Linked DNA regions of Notamacropus eugenii. The main gene of each other region encodes a partner of the protein of the gene in region 2 in a complex. Links are inferred from orthologs where the notes say so. Each region holds a gene or a part of one and is shown on either strand. Other genes may lie near its edges.

The links.
Region 1: CC2D2A (region 2) and B9D1 share a complex: the UniProt entries of both Homo sapiens proteins name them as parts of the tectonic-like complex. The link is inferred for Notamacropus eugenii from reciprocal best matches to the Homo sapiens genes CC2D2A and B9D1.

The regions. Positions count from the first base shown.
Region 1 is NC_092874.1:319,707,796-319,715,370, reverse strand, and holds the start of B9D1 (B9 domain-containing protein 1), read right to left. Parts: upstream 3,045-7,575; 5' UTR 2,487-3,044; coding exon 2,424-2,486; intron 586-2,423; coding exon 517-585; intron 1-516. UniProt on the Homo sapiens protein: Component of the tectonic-like complex, a complex localized at the transition zone of primary cilia and acting as a barrier that prevents diffusion of transmembrane proteins between the cilia and plasma membranes.
Region 2 is NC_092877.1:67,984,865-67,992,254, forward strand, and holds the start of CC2D2A (coiled-coil and C2 domain-containing protein 2A), read left to right. Parts: upstream 1-4,338; 5' UTR 4,339-4,421; coding exon 4,422-4,508; intron 4,509-6,679; coding exon 6,680-6,760; intron 6,761-7,390. UniProt on the Homo sapiens protein: Component of the tectonic-like complex, a complex localized at the transition zone of primary cilia and acting as a barrier that prevents diffusion of transmembrane proteins between the cilia and plasma membranes.

The sequences.
Region 1 (7,575 bases), on a different chromosome or scaffold from region 2:
TGGGTGGATCAGATTTGTGGGCGATGGGTTCACCGTTTCTGGTCATTTCATGAACAGAACCCTGAGCAGACGGGTGCCTAATACATATCCGTTATTGTTGTTCAGTGATGTCAGTCATCTTGGACTCCTCATGACCCCATTTGGGGTTTTCTCGGCAGATACCTTGGGAAAGATTTCCCTCTCCAGCTCATTTTATAGATAAGATACTGAGACAAACAGGGCTAAGTGACTTGTCCAAGGTCACGGAGTTACTAAGTCTGAAGCCAAATTTGAACTCAGAAAGATGGGTCTTCTTGGTTTCAGGCCTGGCACTGTATTCACTGCGCCACCTGGTGGCTCCTCTAATAAACAGTAGCTGTTAATAAAAGGTCCATTTTTAACTGTGTCACGTTAGGGTATAAAATCTAGCCGGTTTATCTGTTTACAGGTCAGGGGAGGGAGGTGGGGAGGAACATAAGAAGGGGCGAGTGAGAAAAAAAACAGCAGAACTGAAGAAAGCTTCACAGTTCAACTTACAGATGTCGGTACCCAGTCTTGGCCATAAACGAAACAGTACTTGCAGTAGAGGTCGTTGAATTCAGGAAACTTTAAAAAGAAACATAATACAGGTGCTTTATTTCAATCCAACATTTCCCTTCCATGTTCTGTGGGCTGCCAAAAAGGCTGATTATTGAATTAATATGAAATTGAGAGATTTTAGGTCACCTAGCTCAGAGTCAAACATATCTTTACTCTAGACCAGTGTTTCCGAAATGAGGGCTGTTTCTAAAAGGGGTGTTATCAACCAATCAGAGACCCCACCACAGCCAGTCTTGGACTTTTCTCCAATACAATCGCCCAGCCTCTTTCAACACTGCCCTGCTGGGCATCAGCCTCCTGGGCTGTGGGCCACTCGGAGGTTATAACCCGACCCGGGCATAGGAGGCCCTCAGGGCAGATGAGTACCCAACTAGTGTCTAGTCCTAGTCTCCCTCCTGACCCTGATGACCTCAAACATGCCCAAGGCTCACTCCTCTTCTGAGTCCCTACTTCTGCTGGGGACAACACCATCTTTACAATAACCAAGGTCTGCAATCCTGGCACTATCCTTCCATCCCCATCTTCCCTTACACCACAGTCATCAGCTGCTAAATCTTGCAGTTTCTACTTCTCTATCTCACCTATTCCAACTTGATCATCTCTATGGAACAGCCTCTTAAACGGTCTCTTTGCTCAAGTCTCTATTCCCTTTTCCACAAAGACGCCCAAATGATTTTTCTAGAGTAACTCTCAGTAACCTTTCGCAGCTCCTTACTGACTCCAGGATCAAATAGTATTTATTTTTTAATCTGGTTTTCAAATTCCTACCTTTGTGTAGGATTTAAAATGTACATAACTACTGTCACAGTAACACATCTGTATTTTATAAACAGGTAAATAATGTACATGTGAAGGAGGAGCATCCTGACTTAAAATTTTTCCAATAACAGGCAAGTGCAATTTTTAAAGTCTGGGTGCTACAGGCTTAAAAGGGGCAGGTGGCCAGATCTGGTGACACTAGAGGAGTGAAGTGGACAAGAACGATCTTACCTGATGGATGTGGAGAGCCTGGTCATGTCACATGGTTGAGATTAAAAAGGTCAGGGATGGACATGGAGAGAAGGATCCCACTGGAGAGTGGGAGCAGAGGAGAGCTAACCCCAGGGGGCAGGGTCCCCCACATAAGGGTCTGACAGAAGGGGAAGGATTTAGGGCTACAAGAGGGTTAAGATCTCTGGTCCAACCTCATTTTAGACAAGGGAGCAACGGGCAGTAGCGCGGAGGCTGGAGCCGAGGTTCTAGGTGTCCCGTTCCAGATCGGGAGCACCGCACGGGGAAGGGGACAGACAGACTTTCTTTCGTTCCGTTGGGGGCCAGGACTTCCAAGCCCCATTTACAGGTAAGGAAGCTGATCTGCCCCACTACGGAGGGGCCGCGGCCGGGCGGGAGGCTGCGCTCTCTGCCGCCTCCTCCAGGGGGCAGCAAAGGCCCCGACTTCACCCCCAGGGGGTCGTCCGCACGGACCCCCACGGCCGCTCCGGCGCTAGGCCTAAGACCCCAAGGCTCCCGCTTACAGGTCACGGAAGGCGCTGGGTCCTGGACGCGGGAGGGCAGGTCCCGGTCCAGCTGGGGGTGGGCGGGGATGCGGCCCCCGCAGAGAAAGGAGGGGATTCTCGTCCCACTTGGGAGAAAAGGGGGGCGGCGTCTGCGGTGTGCCCGAGTGCCCTCTGGCAGGGGGCGTGTGCGTGCACGTGTGCAAGTACAAATTCGGGTGGGTCCGGGGCCGCGGCGCCTCCCGTGGGCCTGGGGGCGTGGCCACGAGGCCTCGCATTCCGGCTCTGCTCCCCTCCCTCCGGGCCAGCCGGCCAGCCGTCCCCGAGGCCCCGTCCCCGAGGCCGCCTCACCTGGCCGCTCTCCACCTGCCCGTTCACCATTATCAGGAAGACGGTGGGGGTACTGGTAGACATGGCTCTCCGGGGGTCGGGCGCGCGGCCTGCGTTGCTAGGAGTCTCTCGAGCGCCCCCTAGATCCCGACGGCGCGCCGCATGGGACAATCTTCCTCGGAACGGGGCCTTCGCGCCTCGCAGGCTCCCGCGGCGGCCTAATTTACGGAGCGCCTGGCTGGAGCATGCGCAGTTGTTCCTTTGGAGGGGCCTGCGGGAGAAGGGAGGAGAGGACGGGGCGGGGCCCTCGAGCCAGGTGTCCTGGGCCTCTTGGGCAGCAGGGAAGCCTCTTGACCCCTTCTAGTGGTCTACACGTGTGCCCCATTTATATAGACCGCTAGGGGGTGCGGCGGAGAGCACGCTGGCTCTCCACTCGGAAAAACCCGAATTCAAACCGCTCACCCGCGTGACTCCGAGTAACTCAGTAAAAACAATCCCTCTTTGCTTCGTCTCCTCAGCTGTAAAACAGGAAGAATACTAGCGCCCTGTCCGGGGGTTGGCACGGGGATCAGGTAATAGCTAAACGAGTTTTAAAGGGACTGTCACCCTGGCTGTGGGCCTGTCCTGGAACGGGACCAAAGTGACGTCACCATGATAGAGTCACGTGTCCGCGGGTCCCATACCAGGGCGCCCATGTGAACACCTGGGCTCGGTGTCCAGAATTTGCACATCCTGCATTGACTGTCTCCGGTCTGCTTTGCCCAGAGCACAGCACCCTTTCTGAGGTGGGCACGCCATGCTGAGCGGTCCTGTGCCAGGGTCTCCCATGTCCCACAATCCAATCCAGAGTTCTTGAGAGAGACCTTGGGAGGGTCCTTGCATTGCTGCTTCTGCCGTTGTGTGATCTGCTGCCCCATCACTCGTTTTCCATGAAATAGTCTTTGTGGCAAGCGTACAGTTTGTGTTCTGACACCATGGCCCACCCATCAGAACGGTGCTCTCTGAAGCAAAGTTCAAGGATGCCTCCCTTGTTCATCTCTATAAAGGTAAAGGGAATAGATTGTCCTGGGACGATCACAGGAGGGTCTGTCTCTTAGTCATTGCTGGCAAGGTTCTTGCTAGAGTCCTCCTTAATAGTCTGATCCTTCACCTGGAAGATGCTTGTCTACCTGAGAGCCAACGTGACTTCAGAAAGGGCTGAAGAACAGTCGGTATGGTGTTTACTGCCCGACAACTCCAGCAGAAATGCCAAGAGCAGAACAGAGGTTTGTACACAACGTTTGTGGATCTGACCAAGGCCTTTGACACTGTTAGTTATGAGGGTTTATGGAAAATTATGTCAAAATTTGGCTGCCCGGAGAAGTTCATCAGTATCATGTCAGTTTCATGGTGGCGTGTTTGCCCAGGTTCTGGATAATGGAGAATGATCTCGTGCTTTCCCAGTCACCAATGGAGTGAAACAGGGCTGTGTGCTTGCTCCCATGCTTTTTAGCATGATGTTTTCAACCATGTTGTCAAAAGCTTTCAATGAGGATGAACACGGCATCAAGGTCAACTACTGTACTGATGGTAAGTTCTTTGGTTTGAAAAGGCTACAAGTCAAGACGAAAGTGGAGGGAGTGTTGGGGCATCATTTTCTGTTTGCAGATCATTGTGCACTCAATGCAGCCTCTGAAGCTGAGATGCAACAAAGTATGGGTCAATTCTCTGCTATCTGTGCTCATTTTGGCCTAATAATGAACACCAAAAAAATACAGGTGCTCTATTAGCCACCACCATACCATGGAACCGTCAGATACAACAAATGGAGAAGTTTTGAATGCTGTGGATAAGTTCACTTACCGTACACAATGACAATGAGGTTGACACACACATTGCCAGAGCTAGCTCAGTGTTTGGGAGACTGAAAAAAAGTTTGGGAGAAAAGAGGTATTAGACTGACTACCAAACTGAAGGTCTACAGAGCTGTTGTGCTAACCTCATTGTTGTATGCCTGTGAAACATGAACAGTCTACCTACACCATGCCAGGAAACTGAATCGCTTCCATTTGAACTGTCTTAGGAAGATTCTGAGGATCACCTGGCAGGATAAGGTACTAAACATTGAAGTCCTGAACTAAACGGTGTTACCCTAATGCTTAATTTATGTCAAACAAAAGTCAAAGAAATTCTTTGTGTCCCTTAAAATTGGGGGGGGAGGGGAACCTCAAGGAAGAAGACTGCCTGGTTCCAGAGGGAAAAGGAAAGTTGTGGAATCATGAATCTAGAACCATAAGAGACCTGAGAGGCCATTTAATCCAATACTCTCATTTTATTGATGAGGAAACTGAAGCCCAGAAAGGTGACTTGCCTAAAATCACCCAGGTGTTAGGCATCAGAGGCAGAATAGGGAACCCAGCTCCTCTGAGGTGCAGGATCGGTGTCTGTTTTACAGAACAACGGATTATAGATCATCTTAACAAAGTCCAGTATTCATTCAGCAATAACAGATTATCAGAAGGAACCCTGGATGGACAATCTGAAGAAACGGCTTCTAGTCCTGACTCTACCACTGACTTCACTATGTGGCAAGTCGCTTCCCTCTCTGAGCCACAATTCCTTTCCCTGTAACATGAGAGGATAAAACCAGATGATCTCTAAAGTCTCTTACAGGTCTGAGTTCTGGATATGTTTGAGGTATTGGTGCAGCATCAAGGTGGTGTTGTGTTTCTGAGTCGTTTTTCAGTTGTATCCAACTCTTTGTGACCCTATTTGTGGTTTTCTTGGCAAAGATACTGGGATGGTTTGCCATTTCTTTCTCCAGTACATTTTACAGATGAGGAAACTGAAACAAATGGGGTTAAGTGACTTTCCAGGGTCACACAGCTAATAATTGTCTCAGGTTGAGGAAGTTTAGCATTGGTAAAGCAAGTTCAGATGTGAAAGAATCCACTTAGACCTTCTTGTAGCCACTGGGAGCTTTATTTTATGCAAAAAAAAGCAGCATGGGTCTCTTAGCAAGAAAGCTAAGTGAGACTCCCATATTTGGGGGAGTTATGCTTATATAGAGGTTTCAGAATGATTATGTAGTTTTAGAGATTTAGAAGATTAGGGACAGGATGAGGAAGATGGATGACAGGATAGGAGATGCAAGGTAAGGGAGATGGGGAATTTTATGACCCAGGATGGGGGGAAACAAGGAATTTTATGGTCCAGGATAAGAGGGAAGTTTTATGGTTTAAGTACAGGGCAGTAGGATACAGATAAAAAATTAAAGGACCCAGGGAACACAATATAAGGGAGACAAAAGCAATTCTTTTGGTACAGGTTCATGATAAAGGGGAGTAAGGACTTTAGGGTACTGGAAAAGCAACCCTTAATATTTTAACCCTTAGGGCACTGTTTGTATCCTCATCAAGGCCAAATTTGAACTCAGAAAGATGAGTCTTCCTATCTCCTTGATGGAGTCCTAATAGAACTGCTCCCAGCTCCAATAGTCTAACTTCATCACAGGCCCACTGTACCTAGCTAGCCTCCCTACCAATGTCCTACGTTCTTCATATATGCCTCACTGCTCACTAGAACAACAGTCCCTAAAACTCATAAAACTCTCACAGAAACAGCAGGTGTGGGAACCCACCCACTACCTCTACCTAGCCATGATTCCCAGACCCATTCTTGACTCTGCCACTGACTTCACTACGTATGTTCTTGTAGTTAATCACAATTACATCATCCATCTAGCCCAAGACCTGACCACAATACCTAACTATCTGTCTTGACCAGACAGGACCACAACAGCTAACCGATTGGAGGGCAGCATGGTCAGAATGTTTAACCACCAAACCATAGATAGGACCCCTCCCCCATTACCTAATTCCTTAACAAACTCCTCCCACCTTTTTAATATTAATCATATTCCTATAGTCTATGTAAATTTCTGTTATGTGATTGCATCTTTACCCTATAAAAATCCATCTTGTTTTCTCTGAAATTGCTGGTTCCTCTTAGAACTTAGCCCACTTCATGAGAGGCATCAATCTCAATACATGCTTATACTTGGATTAGAGGTGGTCTGACTCTGAATTCTTTGAGACGGTTCCACCACAAGACATCATAAAACCTCAACAGTTTTTGGCGTCCCTGGGTTTAAACTTTAACATCCTAGCAGAGTGCTCTATCCACTGGATCACCTAGCTCCTCAAAATAATATTGAGATGAAGATTTAGAGACATAAATCTAGATACAGATTTCAGAGTCATCCTTACCAAGGTGATAATTAATCCCAAGGGAGTAGATAAAATCACCAAGATCATAGATTTAGGGTTGAAAGAGAAATTACAGCTCGTAGGATCATGGATTTAGAAAAGTTCTAGTTTACCCACCAGATCCATATAACCCACTCTAGTCTCTCTTCTGAACTCTAGTTCTTCATCACCTACTGGATATTTCTAACTGGATGTCACATAGAAATTTCAAACTCCACATATCCAAGATGAAATTCATTATCTTTTTACCCAAACCCTCTCCTTTTACTAACTTTTCTATTTCTTATTGGGGGGAGGGGGAAGCATCCAATCACTCAGGTTTACAATCTCAGAGTCATCTTCACAGGTGTGCACATAGTGTTTGTTGGAGGAGCACTGATATCTCCAAAAAAAGTTGTGTTTTGTTTCTTTTTTAAAGTTTATATTTTAAAGTTAGGGGCAGTTAGGTGCTGCAGTGAACAGAGTGCTGGCCTTGAAGTCAGGAAGACTCATCTCAATAGTTCTGTGACCCTGGGCAAGTCACTTAACCCTGTTCGCCTCAACTTCCTCATCTGTAAAATGAGCTAGAGAAGGAAATGACAAAGCACTCCAGCATTGCCAAGAAAACCCCCAAATGGAGTCATGAAGAGTTGGACATAACTGAAAAAACAACTGAACAACAATTGTAAAGTTGTTGAGTTTTCGTTTCCTTGATGAATAAAAAACGTGAATAAAAACAACAAATTCTCCAAGTGTGTGTGAGAAATGAGCCCAACCACAAGCCCCCAACTATGAGAAACATGCTCACCTCGAACAAACAGTATTTGTTGTGAAATCAGGAAAGCTTTTATTCATCTTCTACATTCATCTCTCTTGAACGAATGGGTGGCTCCCAAGTAAGGATACAGGAAGACCACAATTTGTTCAGACCAATGCAAGTTCTTTAT
Region 2 (7,390 bases):
ACTAAAGCTTGATGGAAATATTTGAGTATATTATGTAGCCTCAGGCCTTTTTATCTTCGCTTGAGGGGGAGGGATGTTTGATGAGATAACACACTTGTAACATCGTTTTTCTTGGCAATGATTAGGGGCCTTGTAACCATCCTCCAAAAGGTTACTCTTGTTATTTTGAAAAGACACAAAGATAATATGTTAGATGCAGTTTTACATGACTTTCTTCTGTAGGAAAGGTGTTATGAAGATGTGTGTGTATAGTATATATATAATTATGTGTGTATTATATGTCATATTATGCAGATTTATGTGTGTTACATATAATACATATGTATTTTTACATAGGTATACATCAGACAACATCGTGGGGCAAATCACTGCATATACAACTCTTTGTACATATGTATAACAAACACATATCTATTTTATCTATATATAGATGTGTACATCACATATATTTACATATAAAGTGACTGTTTACAGGGAAATCTGTAGGGACTGGACCAGCCATTTTATTGACATAGGGAACTTCTGAGTGAGGAAACTCCCTCTACCAATGTAATTGTAAAGTCTTTAAAAAGTCCTAAAGCCTTGGGTCATATGGCCAGTATGTGCCAAAATTAGGACTTCTTGGGTCTTCTTGGCTTCAAGGTCAGTTCTTTATCCACTCTACTACATGAGTGGATTATATACTACATATGAGTATATGACTTCTATGTTCTAGCAAAATTATTATATTTTATTAAATGTATTTGTGTTAGACTAATATTTTCCTCAAATATCTCTTCTTGAAATGGAGGTGGCATTGGGTTGTCAAAGGCTGGCCCAAAAGAGCACAAGGCATCATATATCTAATCCAAACTATGAAGTATTTAATTAAGCACCTACTATGTGCCAGACTGCTAGAACTAGGGATGCAACAACAAAATGAGAAGTAATATCCTTAAAGAGAATACATCCTATTGGGAGGGAAGGGACAAGAGAGTCCAGGCCTGTGATTTCACTGGTACAAGAAATTCTTCCTGAGGAATCCTCTCTACTAATGCAGATCAGCACCTACTCTACAATTTATAGTCTTAGAAAACTGACCAGGGCCCTGAGAAGTTAAGTGATTGTACAGGGTTACACAGCCAAGGTGTATCAGAGGCAAAACTTGATAGATCTTCCTAACTAAGGGATACAGCATGTAAGCAATATAATAAGGATAATTTGAAGAGGAAGAGAGAAGGCATAATCAAGAAGATCAGGAAAGATGCCCCATAAAAGTGGCACATGAACTGAGCCCATAAAGGAGCTTTGGATTCCAAGAGGCAGAGGTGAGCAGAGAGGGCATCCAAACCATGAGCTCACAGACAGAAGATGGAACTTAGTGTGCAAAGAACAGTGAAACAAGTAGGTTGATCTGGTTATGCGTTAGGGCACACAGGTGGAAGCACTATGTAAGCCACATGGAAAAATAGGCTAGAGTCCGATTGTGAAGGCTTTAAATGGCAACTGTACACCTGTGTTTATACCTTGTTTGAGAGACAAGAGGGAGCCATTGAAGGTTCTTAAGCAAGAGAATGACAAGATCAGACTTGAGTTTTAGGAAGTTTTGCATATGCCCCAGGGTTAGAATGCATGTTTCATGTCTGAGCACCAGGCTAATTAAGTTGGAAGACTCTCATCACTATGTTGGCTGAAGGATGATAAATTATGGGGCATAGTAATTCCTGAAGATCATCTCCTAAATTGTGGATGAAATAAATACTCACCCTGATGAAATTATAGATCTTTGGGGTACTGAAAATGTTTATGTTATCTAAATATTATTTTGAAGGGTCCAGTCATGTGATTTCATTAACATATGGAACTCCCATTGTGACAACTCCCAAGAAAGAAGTATGCATCTTCTCTGTAACTTATAGTCTTATATAAGAGTTATTTGGGAAACTGAGAGGTTGTGATTTGCCCAAGGACATACTTTGTGTCAGCAGCTGGATTTGAATCTGAGACTCTCTGTTCTAGACCAGTTCTTTATCCACTATGCCTCTCCTAATTATTACATATGATGTTAATAGAAAATTATATATTCCAGATATGAACTAGGTGCTAAGCTTTTTCTTTAGAGTTATTGCCAATCCTTGCTATTAAGTGATATGAAGTGGAAGAAATATTTTTTCTACTGGTTCATCAATACAGTGGGTATTTACTATCTCCTATGTGCCTATGGCACCCTTGAAACCGTTTGGGTGGAGGAAACTCATCAGGGATCAGGGAGAAAAGGATAGCTCTGGAAGGAGTGGAGAGAAAAATGAGCTGACATTTTCCCAGGGTATACCATGAAATCTGGATTTTCAATGAGATATGAATGATGATTCTATGAAAAAAGAATTTACTACCAGATTTAATTTCCTCTCTGAAATATTAAATGTGAAATTATGCAGGTATAAAAAAGAATTGTGAGACAATTTTCAGTATTAAAGTAGGTTTCATTTCCCCATCTTGCCCTAAAAAATTTTTTTATGGTTTTACTTTCCCCCTTGTTCTCTCCCCCACACCAAATTGGAGGTGGGAGTGGGGAGAAAAACAAGATCCTTGTAATAAATATACATAGTACAGCAAAACAAATTTCCACATTAGCTGTATTCAAAAATGCATCTTATTCTTCATCTTTAGTACATCATCTCTGTTAGGAAGTGAGTACCTTGCTTCATCATGAGTCTTCTGGAATCATGGTTGGTCATTGCATTTATCAGAGTTCTCAAGTATTCCTTCGAACATTGGTTCCTTCGAGATTTTCCTGATATTTTTCCAGTCTGAGGAATACTTATAGATTCTATCAACACTTATCAGGAAAATAATGTTCTGTGTCCAGATTACTTAGGGAATCCCAGCCCTATATCCATCTAGATATATGGGAAAATGGAAAGTATAGTGAATATAAAAGAAAAGGGAGGACATGGGACAAGAAGGGGGAAAGGAAAGACTAGCTTGGTAATAAGGATCTTTCAGGATTGGAATCTCAGCAGGTAGAGGAAACACATCATGACAAAAGACAGGAGTGCCCTAGGAACATATGTATAATCAAAAATTGATTATTTTAGAATAAAATTTCCTCTGAAGAAAAGGAAGAATTATGTACAGATTTCCACAGATGAGATGAATTAAAGGAATGATGGACAATCCATGGTGTGGGTGTGAATGATGCCTAAGTGGGTGTGGGTGTGAATGATGCCTAAGTGGGTGTGGGTGTGGTTGTGAGTGACACCTAAAGCATCTGGGGAAGGTTCTCTATTATACTTTATAATATTCTAGTTTCCCCCTACCACTTTTCTTTCATCTCACTCCTTTCCTCTTCCATATTTCTCTCTTTTTTTCTTTTACTAACTTTTATTGATGCCTCTTGGCATTGATATCTCCTTTCTCCCATTGAATTCTCCCCTGTTACATGGGGGTGGGAGAGGGGGGGAAGTTAGTAAAACCAACCAACACAGCAACCACATCTGGCAGGGTAAGCAACATTCTGAATCTTTAGTCATCTACCAAGAAGACAGAAGTATGTTAGATTAGTTATGTTAGTTCCTTGAAGGCAATCTTGGTCATTACAATCAGCAAAACTGCCTTCCACCTTTGTTTTCAATTACATCATTATAGTCACTACGTATACTGGTCTCCCAGTAATTAGAATATTTAGATTCCTTCAAGGATCAGTGCAGGTGTTACCTCCCACAAGAAGTCTTTTCTGATCCCCTTAGTTTTTTAGCATTCTCTCCTTCCTAAATTATTTTGGATTTACTTGTTTGTTTATCTGTTGTGTCCCTCTTTCCACACTGCAGTAGAATGTAAGGCCCTTGAGGGTAAAGAGGGGTCTTTGTCTCCCTAGCACCTTACATAGTGTCTTGCGCATAGTAGATGCTTAATAAATATTTGTTTATTGGAATTGAACGAAAGCATACTGTGTTTAGTAATCAACTAATTGTCTGTTTGGTTGAAACATAAGAACAGCGAAGTGAAAGGAGGTTATGGTGAGATTTGGGGGAGTGAGCCTAGTACCACCATCCTGGAGCAAAAAGGGGTCAACAAAAGTTTTTGAACAGAATTCCATGACCAGATATCTGTGCATAAGAAAGGATAGATTGTAAGGGAGAGAGAAAGAAAATGTTAGGAAAACATTTGGGGATGATACTGTAATGATCAGGTAGATGAATCTGTATTAGAATAATAGGAGAGAAGGAAGAGGAGTTAGACATCAAGGGAGATTGTAGAATTAATTTTCAATTTAAATGAGGTAAATTTAATAAACCCTAACCTGTAGCTTAGCTGGGGTTCTACTGGAACAGATGATGATCTAGCCCTTTGATTTTATAGTATTCTTGCTAAAGTTTCACACACATTCATTCTAAGCCATACTCAGTTCCAGCTTCCAAACAACAACACACAAACAACACATGATGCCTGATTTCTTTGTTTTCACTTTGCTGCTCAGGGATCCAGAAATGAGTCACAAAGAAGAAAAAGTGAAAATAATCTCAGAGGTAAGTAGATGTTTATATCATTGTTAGGGTTCTGTATGAGTGAAGAAATCATATTAATAATGAATATCTATTTCTGCTGAATCTACCTACTACAGAGTATACTATACTCAGGGTTATTCACTTTTGGGGGAAATGGCCTACTTTTAAGTTAGTTTAGATAATCAATAAAGCAGGAAATCAAGCCCTGATTTAGTGATCACTGATTTCTAAATTATACTCTCACTGAAAACTTTACAAACTTCACGACTGTTAGAGCTGGCGTCAGCACACCCAGGTGGTGTGGTGAGCATTTGAGAAACAAGGAAAGAATTCTCAATTCTAAAACATTTTAAGATTTCACAAGGATCCAGACTATTAAAGCACATTATTGTCATTTTCAATAAAAAACATTCCCTGTTCCCAAGGAGTTTAAAATCAGCCTGGACTTTAAAAACTTTTGTTTCTCTTCATTTCTTAAATACTGGAAGCCAGAAATTGTACTTGCTGCATGACCTTGGACAAGTCAGTTCCCTTCTCTAGACCTATTCCCTTATATGTAAAATATGGGGGTTTAAGTCTAAGACCCATTCAAATTGTCATGTTCTTGGTTCTGGAGAGGAGATTCTCCTTCACCTCCTCTTCTTCTTCCCCCTCTTCTTATTTTCCTTCATCTCCTCCTCTTTCTTCCTCTCCTTCTTGTCCCTTTCAAGACAACTGCAAAATGTTCTTTCCTGCTCTCTATGGGCCAAATGTGTTCCCTAGCAAGTTTGTTGCTTTCCCATTATGACTCCTTTTCTGTCAACAGAATCAAAGCCATTTTCCTATTTACTCCCAGAAAGTTTTCCTGCCTCACTCTGAAGTGGCTTCTAGGACCTGCCTTATAGAATTGTAGTAAGGATCAAATGAGGTGAAAGGATCTAGTGCTTTATAACTAGAAAGTGGGTTCTTCTTATTAATTCTCCAAAACTACACATTTTCCCTACCAGCTAGGTTGGTTGCCCCAGAATCTGTCCTGAATGAAAGGACCAGAGCAATTTTTGTGGAATCTGGATAAACACTTGTAGAGCCAAAGGCAGGTGGTGAGGAGATTGGCCAAACATCTACTAGAATAAAATTTCTGTGAAGCCACCAGTGATAGGAGGCACCATGGTAGAGTGGAAAGATCACTAGCACTGTAGTTAAATGGCTTGAATCAAACCTTATTCTAAGCTTAACATACGTACATACATATGTATATACACACAAAAATGTATGCCTGTGTATGTACATACATGTATCTACATATGTACATATTTGTATACACGCATGTATATTCAATAATCATTCAATAAACATTAAGTGCCTTCTAAATGTCAGGTACTGTGCTAAATGCTAGGGATACAAAAAAGAGGCAAAATTCAATTACTATCCTCAAGGATCTCACAATACAGGATCTTGGGAGAGTTCTAACATCCCTGGGACTCAGTTTCCTCACCTGTAAAAGGAAAAGGTTGGAGTAGATGAAGTCTGAGCTCTAGATCTCTGATCCTATGATCTGATATAGAGTGATAAATGAATCTATATATTTACATGTACATATAGTAGATAGCTATATGGATATCTATGGCAGATATGGAGGGAGGGAGGGAGACAGACACAGGGACAGAGAGAGACAGAGATAGAGAGAACAAGGATACAGTATGGCTTTATACAGCCCTCTGAATAATTTAAAAAATCAAGCAGAATTACAAAATGTTAGCAACCAAAGGGACCTTAAAGGTCATGTAGTCAAACTCTGCTATTTTACAGATGAGGAAACTGAGACTCAAAGGAATTAAGTGATTCTCCTAAGATTACACAGCCAGTAAGTGACAGAGGCAGAATCTGATCACAGTTCTCTGACTTCAGAGTCTTTCATATTATGTCATCTGGTGCCAAGAATGATGGTGACATTGATGATGGTGGGGTGTTGGTGATGGGGGTGACAGTTGTGTTCAGTAAAGGATCTAGTCTCCTATTTCCTAATGAAGGCTAACAGAATGAAGTAGAGGGCCTGAGCCTTTTCATCTTCACTGTGATTTTGTTTTTAATATTTAAAAATACAGCTCCAGATCTTTAATTGTTGAATTGTTTTAAATTTCAGCAAATAAACCTATCACACTTCAATTTTTTCTTTTCTTTTTTTTCTTTTCTTTTTTTTTTTTTTGACAAAGGAGTTTGTTGAAAATGAAGGTGCGGAGGCAGAAAAACTGAAGAAAAAGTTGAAAGTTCAAAAACACAGAAGAAAAAAACAGGTAGGATTGTCACCATTCTGATATTTGTCTTTTGAATTGATGTTTAACTTTAGCAATGTTGTAGCATCAGAAGGGTACCGGCACAGCACATGGAGTCTTCTCTCACTTTCCATTGCTTTTCTAACTGAACCATCTACTTTTCTGGTCGTAAGTCTCTTTCACTTCTTTCATGCAGGTGATCTTCGCTAGGAATAGCCTGTTCAGACCCGCACCATAACTTTCTATTGCCCTTTGAATGATCTGCAATTTTGATTCTATGACAACTATACTGAATGATTTATAGTTGTACAGCATTACCAGAATATGTGAATACATGAGAGATCTGTGGTTTTGTCTGCTTGAAGAATCACCCTCCACAAATCCAGATACCTAGCTATCTACCATACCCCTAACCCTATATGCTACTGGACCCCTAAGCAATCTGACTGAAGATAAGTCTCAGGGAATTGTCTGAGACATACAGAGGCCTCATGACTTTTCCCACATCACACAGTTAGTGTCAAAGGCTAGGTCTGAACTGAGGACTTGCTAACTACAAGTCCAGTACTCTATCCACTATGGCACATTGCCCCTATCCTCTGGAGAAATATTGGTGTTTGAAAGATTGGTTTTCTTTGTAATCTTATACAT